Linked DNA regions of Struthio camelus. The protein of the gene in region 1 interacts with the protein of each later gene in a pairwise test. Links are inferred from orthologs where the notes say so. Each region holds a gene or a part of one and is shown in the gene's direction. Other genes may lie near its edges.

What was found. The genes of interacting proteins can lie anywhere in the genome.
Region 2: the proteins of SAT1 (region 1) and TCF25 interact in binary tests that used the Homo sapiens proteins (3 or more experiments, as listed by UniProt). The two-hybrid records come from large-scale screens. The link is inferred for Struthio camelus from reciprocal best matches to the Homo sapiens genes SAT1 and TCF25.

What each region holds. Positions count from the first base shown.
Region 1 is NC_090942.1:135,361,282-135,370,947, reverse strand, and holds SAT1 (diamine acetyltransferase 1), read left to right. Parts: upstream 1-5,243; 5' UTR 5,244-5,506; coding exon 5,507-5,572; intron 5,573-5,911; coding exon 5,912-5,963; intron 5,964-6,048; coding exon 6,049-6,132; intron 6,133-7,334; coding exon 7,335-7,436; intron 7,437-7,510; coding exon 7,511-7,551; intron 7,552-7,806; coding exon 7,807-7,977; 3' UTR 7,978-8,323; downstream 8,324-9,666. UniProt on the Homo sapiens protein: Enzyme which catalyzes the acetylation of polyamines. Substrate specificity: norspermidine = spermidine >> spermine > N(1)-acetylspermine. This highly regulated enzyme allows a fine attenuation of the intracellular concentration of polyamines.
Region 2 is NC_090951.1:1,801,101-1,810,378, reverse strand, and holds the start of TCF25 (ribosome quality control complex subunit TCF25), read left to right. Parts: upstream 1-4,901; 5' UTR 4,902-4,929; coding exon 4,930-5,109; intron 5,110-7,326; coding exon 7,327-7,494; intron 7,495-9,278. Other genes in the region: SPIRE2 (protein spire homolog 2), read left to right, coding at 1-69, 1,179-1,321, 1,759-1,893, 1,965-2,032, 2,444-2,471, 2,629-2,744, 3,729-3,924. UniProt on the Homo sapiens protein: Component of the ribosome quality control complex (RQC), a ribosome-associated complex that mediates ubiquitination and extraction of incompletely synthesized nascent chains for proteasomal degradation.

The sequences.
Region 1 (9,666 bases):
GAAACAGTATTATTATCCCTTTAGTACGAGGTTGTGATAGATTACTGTTTTCCTGTTTTTTCAAAAGAGAATGAATGAATGTCTCGTAAATTCAGCAAAACCCACTCAGAACCGACTCTTGCTACCAGCGCTTTTTTTCTGTCGTGTATGTGGTATGAGTACTTCTCCCCTACTTCATGTCTGCATAAACTGCCACAGCTGATGCTGGTGCATGATCCTGGGTTGCGCAGGAGTCAGGGGGGAGGAGGAGACGACTGTGCTGTATCTTAGGGAAAGTTCCTCTTCGCTGCTTCACATCCTTAAAACAACTGTAATCCCAAGTCCCATCCCCAGCGACAGCCCTTGTACGTGTGACCCCATACACAATCATGTGACTCTTATTACTTGCCGTACTAGCTCCATGTATCTGCAGAGAAAAAAGTTGAAAGAGCTATTTGAAAGCTTCTAGCTCATCTAGTTGTAGAAAAAAATGGAAATCTGGTATGGATGGTGGCCATGTGCTGAAGAATCAGAAACCAAAATACCATAAAGAATCACCTGAGGACAGAGCAAAGTCTGTGACAAAAGATAAAAACTGTGATAGTGATGTATAAAAAGAACACCTGTTCCTCCTGGGAATCCCCGCTTGTTTGAAAGGAAAATTCATATTCCTCAGGTTTCTTTTTAAAGTCTGAGAAATTGAGCCCAAGAACGCCAATTTAAGTAAGTCACGAGATCAGAATCGAAGGCACATCTACCGTATCCAAAACTGAAGGCTATAAAACTAAGGCCCATTTTGATTGTTTTCCAAAATTGTTTCTACTGTTTTTATAACCCTTATTTGCAGGCAGGATGTTGATAATTTGTGGGTGCAATCAGACAATTAGATGTCTAAATCCCAAATTCATCAAATTGCATAATTGCAAATGCCTGTCAAGGCATATCAGCTTACAGGAATAGGATTGCAGTGGCCTAAAATATGTCTTCAAATGTAATAATGCAGAAGGTTGGGCCTTTATTTCCAGTATATGGAAATATATAGTTTTATTATGTGAAACTGTTAATTTTGCATTTGCCCCAGATTCTGAAGTGCTACTGCAATGTTTATTTACTTTTTTATAGAAATATATTTTTTTTATGTGCAGCTCAGTGTTGATAAAAACTGTTATTGTAAGTTGCTTGAAAAAAAATCTGGCAGCAACTGGGAGCTCATAAATATCACAGCTAGTTCTGAGTATTAGACAATAACTATTCAGTTGAAAATGCAGAGAAAATCCTGAATGCTGTCCAAAGAGTAGTGGTGTCTGGAAAAATTAACAGGTCAACACTGAATGTTAACTTAATGTGTATTTTCTGTATTTTGCTCCAAAGATTTGAGATGAGATCTGGATTTGGATTGAAATGTTTGAGATCCATTTAATACTATACTCAAAAATGATTAACATTTTTGAGTATTCCACATTTTAATGTGGAATATTATGTGGAAAATTACATTCCACATTTTAATGTGGAATAAAAAGTCCCTATCCTTCCTTCTTTTATTTATTATAAACAGAGAACTTTTGAGGCATAAGAGAGGCATTCATACAGGAATTCAAGGAATCTTCTTAGCGAAGGAGGAAGTCAAAAATTGAAATACCAGAAGTAAAGAGGAGCTTGATTAATTGAACACTGAAGAAAGCAAGCTGGTCCCCACTTTGAGCCTTTTCCTCCAGTCTCTGAAAGAAGATGAAATCCAGAAATTTAGAAGCAAATAGAAAGAGTCATCAGTGCAAGTATCCAACTGAGGCCCAAAGTTCTCTGAATCGGTTGTTCAGCTGCATCCCTATGAAAGGTTCTTGGGGAACTAGCATGACTATAGCCTGTTGCTCAAGACCAGACAGTACCTCTCTATCTCTGGAGGGATGTGGAGAAAATATGCCTTAAGATACAAACTGTTCTGTATGCTTTTATTAAAAGCAGTTCCTGCTGCAACACTTTAAGTGCTGCTTTCTTTTTTTTGTTTTGTATAACATTTTTCTGGCTCCTCACTTACAAGCAAGGTTTAGTGAGGCGATAAAATGAGAATGGGAGGAAAACATGTACCATCTTTTCAGATAATCCTAATCATTCTACCTCTCAAACAGAGAAGTGTCATCCCTTTTGGTGGAAATATTCATACGGAGCAGGTTCTGCACAGAAGAAGCTGTTGGGTGTAACATGAGAAGCAAGAACTAACCTAATCCAGTTTAGTGCATATGCCATTATAACAGGTTATTTCAACAATTGATTTACTTTAAATGCCTTTACTACCCACTTTTCAGCATAATTGTATAATTTGAAAATAACGTGATCCTTGTCAGAACATTTACCTCTTCTCATTCCCTCTAGGCAAAACGTAAATAAATAGGCTGACCACTTAAGCCTAAAATCCTAACCCTATGGAAGTCGTTAGAAATTCCATCACTGATGTCAGCTTGGTCAGGATTACAGGAAAGATTCTCAAAACTCAGCAGAGCTGAGAGAAACAGAAGACCCATCAATATGATTAATTCTCAAAATGGAGTTCTTTAGAACCACTTTGTAAAACTGTCTTACCATTACACTGAAAAAAGTACATATAGTTGCAAATAACCAATAATTGTAGCATAGGTTCTGAGATCTAGCTCTCTTAATTACATCATTTTTCATTTCCTTTTTGTTCTTTTTTCTTCTCTGTATTTCATATGGGTCCATGAAACTATTTTTGATATTTCAGGATTTTTTTTAATTTTTTTTTTCTTCTCCTTTGTGAATTTGAAGGCTAATTCAAATGAATTGTATTCACTGGGGTAACACAGTATCAGCATATTTCTGAGCAAGTTGAAGCAGGACTCTCACAAACACTTGAGATGGAAAATGTCTTCTGCTGAAACTTCAACTTCTAACATCATATGACTTTTCTAACTTGAGAACGAAAGGAATCAGGTACTTTCTGCTCTTACTCAACATTAGGTTCTCTGATAGTATGACTTCCTCATTGTCAAACGGACAAAAAACAAAAGAGTCAACACAACAGACACACTAAGTCTTTCCAGAAAAGTATTTCCTGTTTCTGATCCCAGTTCAGGTTCTTCCTGGCAGTTAACCAAAAAAAAAAAAAAAAAAAAGTATATTCATGAAATCCCTTGCAGTTAGGTTGGAACTCTTCTTTGGGAAGTTATTCAAATTCAGTCTCCCTGCCAGAACCCCTGTCCTGAAGGATTTCCACATCTGTAACTCCTTCTGAAACAAATCTTTTCTCCTAGTAGGCATTGGCTGTCACTTTTGTTTTGGAAATGCTGCTGTTCCTTGGGCATCTCCAGGTGTCATTTTTGCCCCAACAGAGGGTGACAGAGTGAGCTGGCGACACCTGAGTTGGTGTCTGAATACATCCAAAACTACTCTTCTAGGAATAGAAGTACATTCCACTGTGAGCCAAAGGATTTTCCTGGCTAACGCTGGCCACCAGAATATACACTTCCTTGTAAGTTCTCCTGTAATAACACATTCCATGCTGGCCCAAACGTCTAAATGAAGGTGAACCTTGTAAGTCATTTGATACACTGGAAAATAGGGTTTGAGCGTTGTGAGAGCGTTTGGGAATCCAGGTTTTAAGGACTGTTACAACAGTAGCATGACTTGGTGTTTTCTCAAACCCCAAATCACTTTGAAAGCAAGTCAGATTAAGCCGAACGTAAAATAAAGAGCTCCTTTACAGTATCTAAGAATGGTCATGATAGTTGCAAAGTTTATGGGTCATCAGAAGCGAAAAGAAAACCATGCACATACCAAATTGTTATTTCTATACTTCTTACCTGGGTGGCCTAGCTGATAGGCCTACAGACATTCATAATTATCTAGTTGAGGATCTGGTTCTCATTCTGCTGTCTACATCTACATCCTATAGGTTAGGCTTAGAGAAGAATGAGGTTAGGGATAATTATTCCTTTCTTTTATACCCTAAACCCCTAATCATTCAGACAGATTTCTTCATTGCACCTCTGTACACAAAGACATTCATACCTCCTTCTAGAAGGAATGTGAGCTTACCCAATAGCAGACTACGGGCAGACCCCTCCTGCTTTGAAGATGCTACTGTCCTTTGTGTATCTCTTGAGTACTACTCTTTCTTCCCCAGCAAGTTTAGTAAGCCAGGTCAGTTATCATGCTTGGGGACGGTTTTCCCATCAGATTGGAAAGCGTTCCAAGCCCAAAGTGTAACTTTTTTTCACATTTTGAACCGTATTTTCCATATAAACAAATACTTGCAAATCCTGCTATATAGTAAGAAATGACCACAATTAATACGTAACGTACACTAGTGTCTTTCATTCAAAGCTAAACATAACAGTTGGGGCAAACAGTACTGTGACAGGAACATTTTAAGTCAGTGTTCTTCCATCTTTTAGAGTTAGATCTCTTTTCCCAGGGGGGCGCCTTTTATACTAGACTTTAACTTTCTTTTTCCTTTTAATTAAGGAATACGTTTTAGCTCCTTGTGTCAGGGAGACTGCCTACCTGGAGAGCTCTGTGTTCCTCTGTGATGAGCCCAGGGTTGTTTAAGAGCACGTATATTGAACTTACCAGCACGGTTGACGTGTTGCTGCGTGGGTCAGCTTGGGTATTTGTCGGTAGTGTACGGGATTCCGGTTACTAACCTTTGGAGAGTCTCTTCTTGTGACCAAGGCGCGCGCGTGGAGGAGGCAGAGGACCAGAACTATCTGTGCGAGGGCTCATAGGGATCGCTGTGGCACTCCTGGACGTTTCAAGCAGGTACAAAGGCTTCCCCCTCCCCCTCACACGGCAGGGAAGATAACTTGCTTTCAAGTCACCACCGAATACCTAGCTGGCCGCCACCGCAGCTAAGATGGCGGCGTCGAGGCGCTCCTCGCCGCACGAGGCGATCCCCTAGCCGCAGGCACACCGCCCGAGGGGGACCCCGGAGGGCTCCCTGCCAGGCGCAGCCCCGAGGGCCGCTGCGGCGGAGGCCCGCAGGCCGCGGAGCGGGGTTTGGGGGCGCGGCGAGGTCCGCGGGTGCGGACGGCGCGGCGGCCCCCGAGGCGCGGGCTGGCTGCGGCGGGGGCGTCCTGCAGCGCCGCCCGGCTCCGCTAGGGGGCGCCACCGCGTGCGGGGGGGGGGGGGAGCCGGGAGTCACGAGACAGCCCCGCACCAGCTGTTGCTGGCAGGGTGAAGTAAGCCTCGGCGGAGGGGCGCTGTCATTGGCTGAGGGCGAGCACTACGGGCGCTCCCATTGGCTTGCGTATGGGGAGAGGCGGGGCGAGGGTATCTATAAATAAGGAGCGCGGCGGGGGCTTCGGCACACAGTTTCGGGTCGGGGTCAGAGCGGTGGAGGGACGGGAGTTGCCCGCCTGCACAGCGCCGCCGCCGCCGCCGGGACATGCTCGCAGCCTGACTGACCGCAGGTGGCCGCCGCGCCCGGGACACGAATGAAGAAGCAGTTGCTCCTCCTGTTCACACATCGGGGACTCGTCAGCCGAGGGGGTCGCAGGGGGAAGCGCCGTCGAAAATGGCCTCGTTCCGTATCCGCGCCGCGCGACCTGAGGACTGCCCCGACCTGCTGCGACTGATCAAGGTGCGCGGCGGGCCGGGGGCCCGGGGGCGGGGGGAGGAGAGAGAAGGGGAAGCGGCGGTTGGGGGCGTCGTTCGGACAGCGCGCGAGACCGGCCGTTCCCTGGCGGCGTCGCCGCGCTGGGGGGAGGGGCGGGCGGGGGGTCTCGTCAGCGCCCCGCGGGGGGTGGGGGTGGGGGAGCGACCCGCCTCGGGGCGGCGCGGGCGGGGGCGGGGGGGAATGTCACGGCTGCCCTTCTCTCTGGGCAAAAACAAGCTCTTGCGCAAGGCTGCGAGCGGCCAATGAGGAGGCGGCTGGGGAGACCTGCGGGGACAGCCCGCTTACATGTATCTTCTCTTCCAGGAACTAGCGAAATACGAGGACATGGAGGATCAAGTGGTGTTGACGGAGAAAGGTATACAAGCAGCAGCTGCTGACCTGGTTGATAGCCTAGTGGCAAGACCTGTGGCTTAGGTGACAATTTTCTTCTCCTTTTCTAGAGCTGCTTGAGGATGGTTTTGGCGAGCATCCTTTTTACCACTGTCTTGTTGCAGAAGTGCCGAAAGAACAGTGGTCGCCTGAAGGTGAGACTTCCTGCCGCTTGTGTTTTGATGCTCAATACACAAGAGATGTCTGAATGTTGTTGATTGTACGTAAGGTTCCACCAATGAACTGGGGCAGGAGGACTAGGTTAACTGTTAAAAATGGAGTAACATACAGTGATGCTCTCTGAAGTAGTCACTAATCCTGGAGATGTGGGAAGATCAGGTATAATATAATGTACTTTAATTCCAGTTAATTAAATGGCTTTTTTTGTTTGACCCTAACTTACCTTATGTAATTCTGTTGAATCACATTTTTTCTTCAATTTGTCCCCAATCTTCAGGTTACAGTCTCTAGCTTCGCCATGTACATGGCCCTTCTGTGTACATGGATGGGCGGGGAGGTAACTAAAAGATCCGTTACACAATAAAGTAGATGATCATAATATGAGGTAAGGTCTACAGGGACAAGTGTTATTCCCAAACCTTTACCAAAAAACACGGTAGATCAGAAATTTGTGTGCACGCTTCTCCTACAGTATGTGTAGAGCATTAGAGCAGATAGGGTTTTAATTCTCAAGAGTTAGAACCAAGAGTGCTGCTGTTGGAAGAGTTGGTTTCTCTTCTGTGTTGAGCCACAGAATTACATTTGAAGCAGCAGCTTTCCTTACTTACAGTAGGTAAATTTTCTGGTGCCGGAGATAGAGAAGGGCATGATGCTATCAGTGCCAAGCCTAAGTTTAAAGTGTTAGAAATGCCGCTGTAAATGTGGTCAGCAAGCATGCCTTTCTCGCACAGTAATTGTTGAGGAATACAAATTGTAAGATCAGTGCTCTCTAGAGTTTGTTAGTCTGTTCTGGTCGCTAAGGAAGCAGAGTTGGGGCAATCTAGATTCTGAACTGCCGTGTAAAATTTGACTTGTATTCCACAACGGAAATAGTAATAAATTGGTAGGGTGTGTATTTGTAGAAAAAAGTCTTAAGTGTTCAGTATTTACTGTAACATTGCTCTTGAGGCTTTCAGGGTATGAAGAGGGCAATCTTTGCTGTATTAAGTCAATAAAATTTTGTCAGAACTCATTTTCAGTTGTGTGCTTATTTGCAAACTTCAATTGTAATTCTAACCTGATAACAAACAGCTGCATGTTACAGAAAGAGGGACTATATTTAAACATGCATGTAAGGCTTGAATTAATATGTTGCCTTTTAAATTCAGACTAGCTAAAGTTGCACCCTTTGTTTCAGAACACAGCATCGTGGGTTTTGCCATGTACTATTTCACTTATGATCCGTGGATTGGAAAACTGCTGTATCTTGAAGATTTTTATGTGATGGCTGAATACAGAGGTAGGTTTTATGGCACTAGATGAGGAGTTACAGGGGCTTCTCTAAAACTGAAACTTTTTTCTTTGCCTTGTTAGGGCTTGGCATTGGGTCAGAAATTCTGAAGAACTTGAGTCAGGTATGTCAAAGCGATAAGTCTAAAAAAGCAGAACTGAGGACACGTGACAAAGCAGTGCTGTTCTAACTGCATGAGAGTTTCCCCTTAAACAGTACTCAGAATTAACATAGCTGACCTATTGAAGGAGGTGACAGGATGCTAGACAGAGCTTTAAAAACTTTGACAACATGCAGTTAGTTGCTGAGTGCTTTCACCAGTTTCTACTAGGTTTAGTGAAGACTTGCTCTAAATTTGTACTGCTGCACACTCTTGCAGGTTGCTGTCAAGTGCCGCTGCAGCAGTATGCACTTCCTCGTTGCAGAGTGGAACGAGCCTTCCATCAGGTTCTACAAGAGAAGGGGGGCCTCTGATCTGTCCACTGAGGAGGGGTGGAGGCTCTTCAAAATTGACAAAGAATATCTCTTGAAGATGGCAACAGAAGAGTGAGAGATGATTCCAGCAAATAAACCCTTTCTATGAATATATACTCTCTATGAATAAACTCCTTCTTGCTTTCTGTGTACAGTTTGTAGTGGATTAAAGTAGCATGGATACTAATAATGAAAATGCTTTGCAAGTGTGGTTAGAGTAATTGGTACTGTGATCCGGAGTTGAGGCATCTGTGAAGTTGAATTTGTGCTTGTGTACATCCTTAACCAGTGTGGGCTTGTTATCGTTGAAATGTATATGAAAACTTCATTCTTGTAAGTGTCATTCAAATGTGTACAATGTACACACTGGTAGGGTTTGTTTTAAGTATTTCCTTTTATAAAAATAAAGTGTTTTCACTTCATGGCAATAGTTTTTGACTTTAATTCTCACATAGTCTGCAGAGAGTTGCTATTTAAGGTAATGGAAGTCTCTTTTGAAAAATATGCCCAGGTGACTAATAAAGTGAAGTGCTATTTATCCCAGTCTCTGAGTGATAAAAGGTGATGTCTGCAGGTGCTAATGGGGAGGCTCTAGCCACACCTGTACTGGAGTGGAGAGCACTCAGTGGGGTTTAGAGATCACTCACGGCTTTACGCATTGTGCAGAGCATTCTGTCTAGTGAGGGAAATTAGGTGCTCTTACAACTAAATTTGGTTCTTGGTTGGGAGTAGAAGATAGCCCCAGGGGAAAAAGCTACTGTTACTTTCTCAAGGCTTACTTAACTGTAGAACACCTCAATATGGAGGTGTAAGCTTAAAAGGGGGGGGGGGGAGGATATCTTGGCAGGGACTGACATATCCAGATAGACTTTTAAGTCTAAAAGATGAAAAATAGTCAAAACCTCAAGACTGAGAAAGGGATTTTTTTCTAGTTCATAAAAATGAATGTTTAAAGATCCAATTTAAATGCCCCTGGAAGTTGTAGGTTTAAATACATCATTTCAGATACTGTACAGAGCTTTGGCATGTGCTTCAGGGCTGTGAATTAGGCAGCAGTGGCGAGATGCCTGGAAAGTAGTGCTATGTAAATGTAAAACTTAAGTCCTGTGCATTTAAAGCTTTGTACAGCAGCAAGCAAGAACAATGCTACTCACCAACTTTTTCATGAGCTTGAAAAGCAAGTGTACATTTTCTAACTTAGCTTTAAAATACTGTCTTAAGTTGTGGTGCCAAGTGGATGTATTCAATTTGTACATTGTTATCCTCATGCTGTAGTTACTCCTGAAGTGAAAGGCTTCTTTTAGCCAGCACTGCCTTACACTTGAAAAGGAAGAGGCTTACCTGCCTTGTAACATGCACTGCTTTAAATGAAATGGGCTTTTAAACTGCATTGCATTGCTACATGAATCTTGCATCCTCTAGAGGATGTCTCCTCATCCTGTAGAGTAGAGGGCACCGACTGTTTTAACCACAGATAACCCTAATGTAAATTTTAAGAACAAGGCAACCCCCTCTGCCTTATTTCCAGAGTAGGCTGTGCAGGGTGAAATTATAAAAGTGTATTCTGAGAGGTTTTGTTTTTTTTTTTTTTTTTTAAACTAAGTAAAGGGGCAGCAGTGTGCCTGCTCAGCTTGTGTGTGTGATATGGCTGTCAGCTGTTGCTGAAGAAATGAGAAATGCAGCGAGACATACAGGAAGTCCTGGAAGAAAGCAGGAGGCGGCATACATCTACATTGGGCAAACATAATCTGGATTGGACCTAGAA
Region 2 (9,278 bases), on another chromosome or scaffold:
AGCTGAGCGGTGGCCAGGATGCGCCCCAGGCGCCGGGGCCGCTGGAGCCTGAGCCCCGGCCCCGCTCAGGTACCCCGCGCGCCAGGCCGCACAGGGAGCGAGGATGTGTCCCCCCGGCGCCCCAGCCTGCTCACAGCATGGGGAGCAGCCCCCGACCCGGCGCGAGCCGGGGCTGAGCCCAGCTGGGACACGGAGCCCCGAACCCTGAGCTGGGACGTGGGGCTGAGCTGGGACCCAGTTTCCCGAGCTGGGACATGGGACATGATGCCCCGAGCTGGGATCTGGGACATGATGCTGTGAGCTGGGACCTGGGACGTGATGCCCCAAGCTGGGTCCTGGGAAATGATGCCCTGAGCTGGGATGTGGGACATGATGCCGTGAGCTGGGACGTGGGATGTGATGCCATGAGTTGGGATGTGGGACATGATGCCATGAGCTAGGGCATGGGATAAGGTGCCCCAAGCTGGGACTTGGGACCTGATGCCCCGAGCTGGGATCTGGGACATGATGCCCTGAGCTGGGATGTGGGATGTGATGCCATGAGCTAGGGCGTGGGATAAGGTGCCCCAAGCTGGGACGTGGGACATGATGCCGTGAGCTGGGATGTGGGATGTGATGCCATGAGTTGGGATGTGGGATGTGATGCCCTGAGCTGGGATGTGGCATGTGATGCCCTGAGCTGGGATGTGGGATGTGATGCCGTGAGCTAGGGCGTGGGATAAGGTGCCCCAAGCTGGGACCTGGGACATGATGCCCTGAGCTGGGATGTGGGACATGATGCCCTGAGCTGGGATGTGGGATGTGATGCCATGAGTTGGGATGTGGGATGTGATGCCCTGAGCTGGGATGTGGCATGTGATGCCCTGAGCTGGGATGTGGGATGTGAAGCCGTGAGCTAGGGCGTGGGATAAGGTGCCCCAAGCTGGGACCTGGGACATGATGCCGCGAGCTGGGACACGGTGCCCCGAGGCCCATGCCAAGACATGCAACCACCAGCCCCGTCCTGTGCCGCGCGCCCTCCCCACTGGGGCTGTCCCCGAGCTGCAGGGCTGTCCCCGAGCTGCGTGCCCTGCGCTCCCAGCCTCGCCGCAGCCCAGCTGTCCCCGCGGCGGCCGTGCTGCACCGCCAGCAGGCCCATGCCGGAGGGTCACGCTGCATGGCGTGTCCTTCCCCTGCAGGATCGGTGCCGGCCAGCTACCACCCAGTGCCGTATGGCACCGCGCCGCTGCCATCGCCCCACGGTGCCCTCAGCTGCGTGGAGGAGAGGCCAGAGGACAGCTCCGGCGCTGCCCCTGCCAGCGGCTCCAAGCACCTGTGGCTGGTGAGTGCTGCATGGGAGCAGGATGTGGCCACTGCACAGGGCGTCTCCCGGGGACACGCTGCCCTCGTGTGTCCCACGGATGCTCTGCCCACGTGTGTCCTGGGGATGCTCTGCCCACACGTGTCCTGGGGATGCTCTGCCCACACATGTCCTGGGGACGCTCTTCTGCCTGTCCCAGGGATTCTCTGCCCACGCGTGCCCCAGGGACACTCTTCTGCCTGTCCCAGGGATGCTCTGCCCACGCGTGCCCCAGGGACACTCTTCTGCCTGTCCCAGGGACACTCTTCTGCCTGTCCCAGGGACGCTCTGCCCACGCGTGCCCCAGGGACACTCTGCCCACACATGTCCTGGGGACATGCATGTCCAAGGAGCAGCTGGGCCGTAGCTGGCACCGGGCCATGCGGCAGGCCAGGCTCACGGCCCCTTTCTGCACGCAGGAGTTCAGCCACCCCGTGGAGAGCCTGGCCCTCACCGTGGAGGAAATGATCAACGTGCGCCGGGTGCTGGTCAAGGCCGAGATGGAGAAGTTCCTGCAGAGCAAGGAGCTGTACAACAGCCTGAAGAAAGGGAAGGTGGGAGCGGGGGAAGAGCCTGCGGTGCTGCAGGGCCCCGGCCACCTCTTACCCGGCCCCTCTCCCCGCAGGTCTGCTGCTGCTGCAGGGCCAAGTTCCCCCTGTTCTCCTGGCCCACGGCCTGCCTCTTCTGCAAGCGGTGAGCAGCCACCCTGTGCGCCACGTCGTGCTGCACTGTGCTACACCATGCCGTGCTGCACTGTGCCGTCCCGTGCCGCACCATGCTCTGCTGCACTGCACTTTGCCATGCAGCACTGTGCTGTGCTGCACGGTGCCATGCCATGCCGTGCCATGCTGCACCACGTTGTGCTGCACCGCGTTGTGCTACACCACACTGCTGCACCACGCTCTGCTGCACCGTGCCACGCCATGCTGTGCCGTGCCGCACCATGCAATGCTGCACGGTGCTGTGCCATGCCACAGCATACTGTGCTGCACAGTGCCATGCCATGCTGTGCCGTGCTGCTCCAAGCTGTGCGGCAGGGCTGGGAGGGGGCCTGCAGGGTGCCCGTGGGTGCCGCTGCTGACCAGCCTCTCTCTGTGCCCCCAGGTCTGTCTGCACCTCCTGCAGCCTCAAGGTAAGGGACGGCTCATGCCAGGGTGCGGGGGCTGCCGTGGGCCGCCCCAGGACGGAGGCGTCCTCCGGGGAGGGCTGCGCCGCTGGGCTGAGCCCACACGTCCTGGCCCTGGCACGACACAGCCCCCAGTGCTGACGCCCGCCCGCCTCCCCGGCAGATGAAGATGCCTTCCAAGAAGCTGGCTCACATCCCTGTCTACGCGCTGGGCTTCGAGAGCCTCCCGGGGCCGCTGGGCACCAAAGCCCCACCGCTGCGGCAGAGAGATACCTTCCAGTGAGTGCCGGGACCCACCGCCCACCCTAGCCCCCACCGCGCCATGCCGTGCTGCACCGCACTATGCCATGCCACGCTGTGCTGTGCTGCACTGTGCTGTGCCGTGCCATCCTGCACTGCACCGTGCTGTGCCATCCTGCACTGTGCTGTGCCGTGCCATCCTGCACTGCACCGTGCTGTGCCATCCTGCACTGCACCATGCCGTGCCATCCTGCATCGCACTGTGCTATCCTGCACTGCGCCGTGCCATGCTGCACCGCGCTATGCCATGCCATCCTGCATCACACCGTGCTATGCCATGCTGCACCTTGCTGTGCCATCCAGCAACATGCCATGCCGTGCTGCACTGCACCGCACCATGCTGTGCCATCCTGCACTGCGCTGTGCCATTCTGCCCTGTGCCATGCTGCCCCGTGCCATGCAATCCAGCACCGTGCCATGCCATGCTGTGCTGCCCCGCACCATGCCGTGCTGCACCGTGCCATGCCATGCTGCACTGCACCGCACCATGCTGTGCTGCACCGTGCCATGCCATGCTGCACTGCACCGCACCATGCTGTGCCATCCTGCACTGCGCTGTGCTGTGCTGCACCACACCGTGCCGCACTATGCCATGCCATCCGGCACTGTGCCATGCCATGCTGTGCTGCCTCGCACCATGCTGTGCCATCCTGCACTGCGCTGTGCCGTTCTGCCCCATGCCGTGCTGCACCATGCCATGCCATCCGGCACCGTGCCATGCCGTGCTGTGCTGCACCGCACCATGCTGTGCTGCACCATGCCGTACCATGTGGCAATGTGCCGTGCTGCACTGCACCATGCCGTGCCACCCGGCACCGTGCCATGCCGTGCTGCACTGCACCACACCGTGCCATCCAGCAACGTGCCATGGTGTGCTATCCGGCACCGCGTCGTGCCGTGCCGCACCATGCTGCGCCGCGCCGTGGCACGGGCCAGGGCTGACGGCGCGGCCGGTGCCCACAGCTCGCTGCCCGGCACCCGCTGGCGCCGCATCGAGGAGGAGTTCCCCCACATCTACGCCCAGGGCGCCGTGCTCCGCGACGTCTGCAGCGACTGCACCGGCTTCGTGGCCGACGTCATCCGCTCCAGCCGCCGCAGCGTGGCCGCGCTCAACGCCGCGCCGCCCCGCGCCCGCCGCGGCGCCTCCTGGCACCAGTGAGGGCTGGCGGCCGCCCCCCTGTACATATATACATAGGACACACAGACAGCCTCTATATTTATATATTTGGGGATGTGGCTCCGCGGCTCTCCGTAGCAGGCGCCGGGGGCTGCCGGACCTGGCGCGGTGCTGAGCCCGCGCCACCGGGACGCCTCGGTGCCTGCCGACCGGCCGGCCGCGTCGCCGCGGCCCCTCTGTACCCCCCGGCCCCCCCGCGAATAAATGGCTTTGGGCTGCCCGGGGGGTGATGCTGCGCGGGAGCGGGGCCGCGGGCCAGCGCAGGGGGCAACGGGGCCGTGGCGGTGGTGGGGGGTGAGGTGGGGGGCGATACCCTTACGCCATGCCCCCCCCGGGGTGATACCCCCCTGCTGCCCCCCCCAGGGTGACACCCTCACACCGTGCCTCCCCCAGGGTGGTACCCCCATGCTGCCCCCCCCCGGGCGACACCCTCACACCGTGCCTCCCCCAGGGTGATACCCCCCTGCCCCCCCCCCGGGCGACACCCTCACACCGTGCCTCCCCCAGGGTGGTACCCCCATGCTGCCCCCCCCCCCCGGCCGACACCCTCACACCGTGCCTCCCCCAGGGTGATACTCCCATGCTGCCCCCCCCGGGGTGATACCCCCAGGCCATGCCCCCCCCTCGGGCGATACCCCCATGCTGCCCCCCCAGGGCGATACCCTCACACCGTGCCCCCCCCCAGGGTGATACCCCACGCTGCCCTCCCCCAGGGCGATACCCCCCAGGCCTTGGCCTCTCCGTGGCATCCCCCCGGGCCATGTTTCCCCAGGCCGTGTTTCCCCCGGACGTTCCGTCCCCGGGCCGTGCCCCCCCTCGAGACAGATTTCGCGCTGCGGCGGCTGGGGGAGGCGCGAGGCTGATGGCGGGCCGCCGCACTGCGCCTGCGCGCGCCGCGGGGCGGGGCCGGGGCCGGGGCCGGGGGGCGCAGGCGCGGGGCGGGGCGGACGCGCAGGCGCGCGCAGGCGCAGTGCGGCGCGCAGCTCCATGTCGCGGCGGGCCCTGCGGCGGCTGCGGGGCGAGCAGCGGGGCCAGGAGGAGCCGGGCCTGGGTCAGCTGGGCCTGGCCTCCGGCCCCGGCCGCTGCCAGGAGCCGCCGGGCGATGCCGCTGCCCCCGGCCGCTGCCGGGGACCGGCTCGGCCCGGCGTCAGCAACCGCTTCGAGCTGGTGAGGGGCGGCGGAGGCGGCGGCGGGGAGTGGGGGTGACAGTGACGGAGTGGCTTCTGTGAGGGGGTGACTGGGGAAGGGGCGACTTCTGTGAGGGGGTGAGTGGGGTGACAGTGACGGGGTGGCTTCTGTGAGGGGGTGACTGGGGAAGGGGCGACTTCTGTGAGGGGGTGAGTGGGGTGACAGTGATGGAGTGGCTTCTGTGAGGGGGTGACTTCTGTGAGGGGGTGAGTGGGGTGACAGTGACGGAGTGGCTTCTGTGAGGGGGTGACTGGGGAGGGGGTGGGGAAGGGGTGACTTCTGTGAGGGGGTGAGTGGGGTGACAGTGGCGGGGTGGCTTCTGTGAGGGGGTGACTGGGGAGGGGTGGGGAAGGGGTGACTTCTGTGAGGGGGTGAGTGGGGTGACAGTGGCGGGGTGGCTTCTGTGAGGGGGTGACTGGGGAGGGGTGGGGAAGGGGTGACTTCTGAGGGGGTGAGTGGGGTGACAGTGGCGGGGAGGGGGTGATGGGGTGACTTCTATGAGGGGGTGGCTGTGAAGGAGTATCTGGGGGAGGGGGTGATGGGGTGACTTCTATGAGGGGTGGCTGTGAGGGGAGTATTTGGAGGAGAGTGTGACTGGGGTGACAGTGACTGGGGGGGTGAGGGGGTGGCTGTGAGGGGAGTATCTGGGGAGGGGGTGACTGGGATGGCAGTGATGAGGTAGCAGTGGCTGTAAGGGGGTGAATGGGGGAGGAGTGACTGGGGTGACTGTGAAGGGGGTGACTGGGAGGGGGCCACTAGGGTGACAGTGACTGGAAGGAGATGACTGAGGGAGGAGTGACTGTGAGGGGGTGACTGGGGGGGCAGTGATGGGATAACAGTGACTGGGAAGGGTGACAGTGGTGGTGGGGCAGTGGCTGGGTGGGAATGAGCAAGGTGACAGTTCCTGAGAGGGGGTCTGGGGAGGGGACCAAAGCGGGATGGTCACTGGGAGGGGGTTGAGGAGAGGGAGTGACTGGGGGCAGGTCCTGGGAGGTGTGGAGTGGGGAGCGATGGGGGTGGTGGTGGCTGGGTGGCCCCTGGAGGGGAGAGGGTCATGGGGGACAATGACTAGAGTGTCTTGGGGGAGAACTGGAGGTGACTTGGGGAGCTGGAAGAGGAGGGTCCTGGGGGGTGGCGGTGAGTTGAGGGGTGGGGAGTGGCCTGAGGGGGCAGCAACTGGGGCTGAGCTGGGAGCGCGGACTGAAAGGACTCAGATGGACTGGGGGGAAGTGGTGGGGGAATCCTGGGGAGGTTTAGGGGAGAAAGTGGGGTGCACTGAGAAGCAGTCTGAGGGATGTGCTGCATGTGGGGTGGGGGTGGCCTGGGGACAGAGTGGGCTGGGGCTGAGGGAGGTGGCAATGGCCTGGCTGGAGGTGAGAGGAATCAGCAGGGGGGCAGCGGAAGAGTCAGGGGGATGGAGGGAAGGGTGTGAGGGGCAGCAGTGTTTAGGAGCAGGGGAGGGGGCGCTGAGCAGTACAAGCTGGGGTGGGCATGGGGAGCAGGGTTGCGAGCGACTGTACAAGAGGGACTACACTGCAGGTGTAGAGCATTAGACGGATGTGGTGGGGAGAGGTGGGATGGGCAGGTGTTGTCGGAGCTGGGTCTGAGTATCGGGGCACGATGCTGTTTTTGGCAGTGTTTCTGCCACCTTTCCACTCCTGCAAGATGCTAGAGCTGAAGGTCTGGGGTCACGTGGGCCCTGATGGCACCGTTGGTCCTCGGTGGGGCAGTCTAGTCCCTCCACTCTTGGCCAGCCCCAGTGCTTCTCTTGGGCAGTGGTTACCTCTCCTTCCCCAGGGCCTGGCTGTGTGAGTGTGGCCAAAGCTGGTTTTTGACTCCTCCCAAAGACGAGCAGAGTCCAGACAGGGCCATGTTTTTCTGCCGCTGCGCTGCGTAGTGGACGCTTTGTTGTGGCCCTGTGCTCCCTTCTGATAAGTCAGTGGATGTTAGGCCATTCCAGGTGCCCACTAGGCAACACTCTTTAAATGAGCCATTGTGCCCCATTCAGCTGCTGGAGAAGATGACTGGGGAAGCTGAGCCCTGCTCTGCTTCTGTCACGCTTGTGGATTTCTCCTCTTTCACTTCCAGGTGTGAGCAGAGCAGATTCCTATGAAATTCTGTCCTGCTGGAAGCAGGAGAGGGCAGAAGCTAGCTACGTGCCTGCTGTTTCTGCATCTTATTCCTCTGTTTGCACAGATTACCAATGAAGAATTGGAGGATGACCCATCATTCAAAGAGGAGCGAGTAGATGCCAGGCTCAAAGAGCAAGATGTAGCAGAAGGGAATGGTGGAGTGCCTGTAACTAAAGAGACAGAAGGTGATGGGCAGAGAGATGGGGAAGATGCAGATCAGCAGGACCAAACGGTAAATAAACTGCAGATATTTAGTAATGATGACTGTAGCCACACAAGGTATGGAAAGAGGGCTGCCACATTTATTTTCCTGCTTCTGTTTGAGCTGAGCGGCTTTGTGTTAGTGACAGAGAAGTGTTTCTTATTACTTGTAGGTTTTGTCACAGGCTGAGAATGTGAGCATCAGGGGCAGGGACACAAGCATGGAGCTTAAAGAAATAATAAGTAGATGCATGTTAATGTTTCTTCAGAAGTGCAGGCTGTCCATCTTCCCCAGTTAATGCCCCAGTTTGTTAGCTGGGGGTACTGACCTTACACACTAATTGAAGTGTGCTATCCCCAAATTGCTGCACAATCTGACCAGGCTCTCCTGCAGGCTCTAGGCCTGGAGCAGATTCAACACTACTTGGCTGAGGGTTGTGTTAGGAAGCCCATAGAATATGCAGGTGTTTCTGCCTTGCATCCAGGGAGATATTTTACAGTTGCAAAGGGAAAGTTCCTAGGACGTCTCCCTGAGTAAGACCTTGTGCTATTCTTGCTGCCCATGTGCTCTCATGAGCACTGAGGTTATGCAAAGCATATGAGGAGAAAAGCACCCCTGGGATTCTGAAACGGAGATTGCTTCTCTGCTTCCTTCGTTGCACAACTACTTTAGCTCTACATTGTGGACAGGGCTGGGCTGTTGGATTAATCTTCAGTGAAGCGTTTATTTTGGAGAGAATGACACGAAGAACCCAAACAATGTAAATTAAGCATCGAACTTCTTTCTTACAGTATTTTGTTGTCATTTTCTGCTAAGAGCCCTTCTTGTAGTCTATCTCAGCACAAAGTACCTGCTGGTAGAACTATTGTAAGAAGCACATAAGGAAAGGGGCTTTTTGAGTAACAATTCAACATTGGAAGCCTGCCCCGTGTCCTGTGGGGGGAATGAAAGGGGATTAGCCCCTTGGCCTCTTCTGTTGGGACTCCACAGCTGGTGTGTGTGCCTGTGTGTTCTGGATGCCTGGCAGTGTGGCCAGAGGAGCAAAGACCAGAGCCTGTGCGCGGTTTAGCTGGGCTGGTGCACTCAACTGGTCCAGTGGATTGGGAACAGTTTGAATGCAGAACATGAGCTCTGCTGATCCATCTCCACGTGAGCAGTGAGGCATCGGCTCCAGGGTGGCCCTGGCCCGGGCTGTTTGCTGCGTAAAAACTTCTGAGTACACCTGCTTTTTCATTTAGGGTTTCCTGGATAGAAATGTGAGAGCCCTCAGCATGTGTCTCCCTGTCACGTGACAGAGCTGAATTGGGGCTGCATATGCCCCTGGTTCTGAAAACAGCTCAGGAGCTTTAGAGCCGTTCTTGTAATGCTGTTACTTCTTGGGTATATTACCTCTGTAGAGCTGACAATCCTGGAAATGTGTGTTTTAGCTCTGTATGCCTTGGAGAAGGGCTGGTACAGATAACAGCATGGCTGTCGGGTTGGAGAATGGTATGCAGTGTTGTGAGCTGAAATAGTTACATCTGTAGTGAGAGGAGCCAGTATTGTGTGATGTTTTCAGGCAGCTGTAGGTTTCTGTGGTGATCAGAGAGACTGCTGAAACTGTGTTGCTCACTGGAAAGAAAGAAATCTCTTTATGCTCCGGAGTAGAGGAAAGATGAAACATTTTAGATACGTCGTATTTGGAAGAACTGTTTCTTCTCTGACTCTGTAGTATTAGACATACATGAAAGGCTTTTGAGATTTAACCCTTACATTTGTGAATTTTTGGTGCTTTCCTCTGTATTTTTCCTTGTGTCTTGATTTCTGCTTGCTGG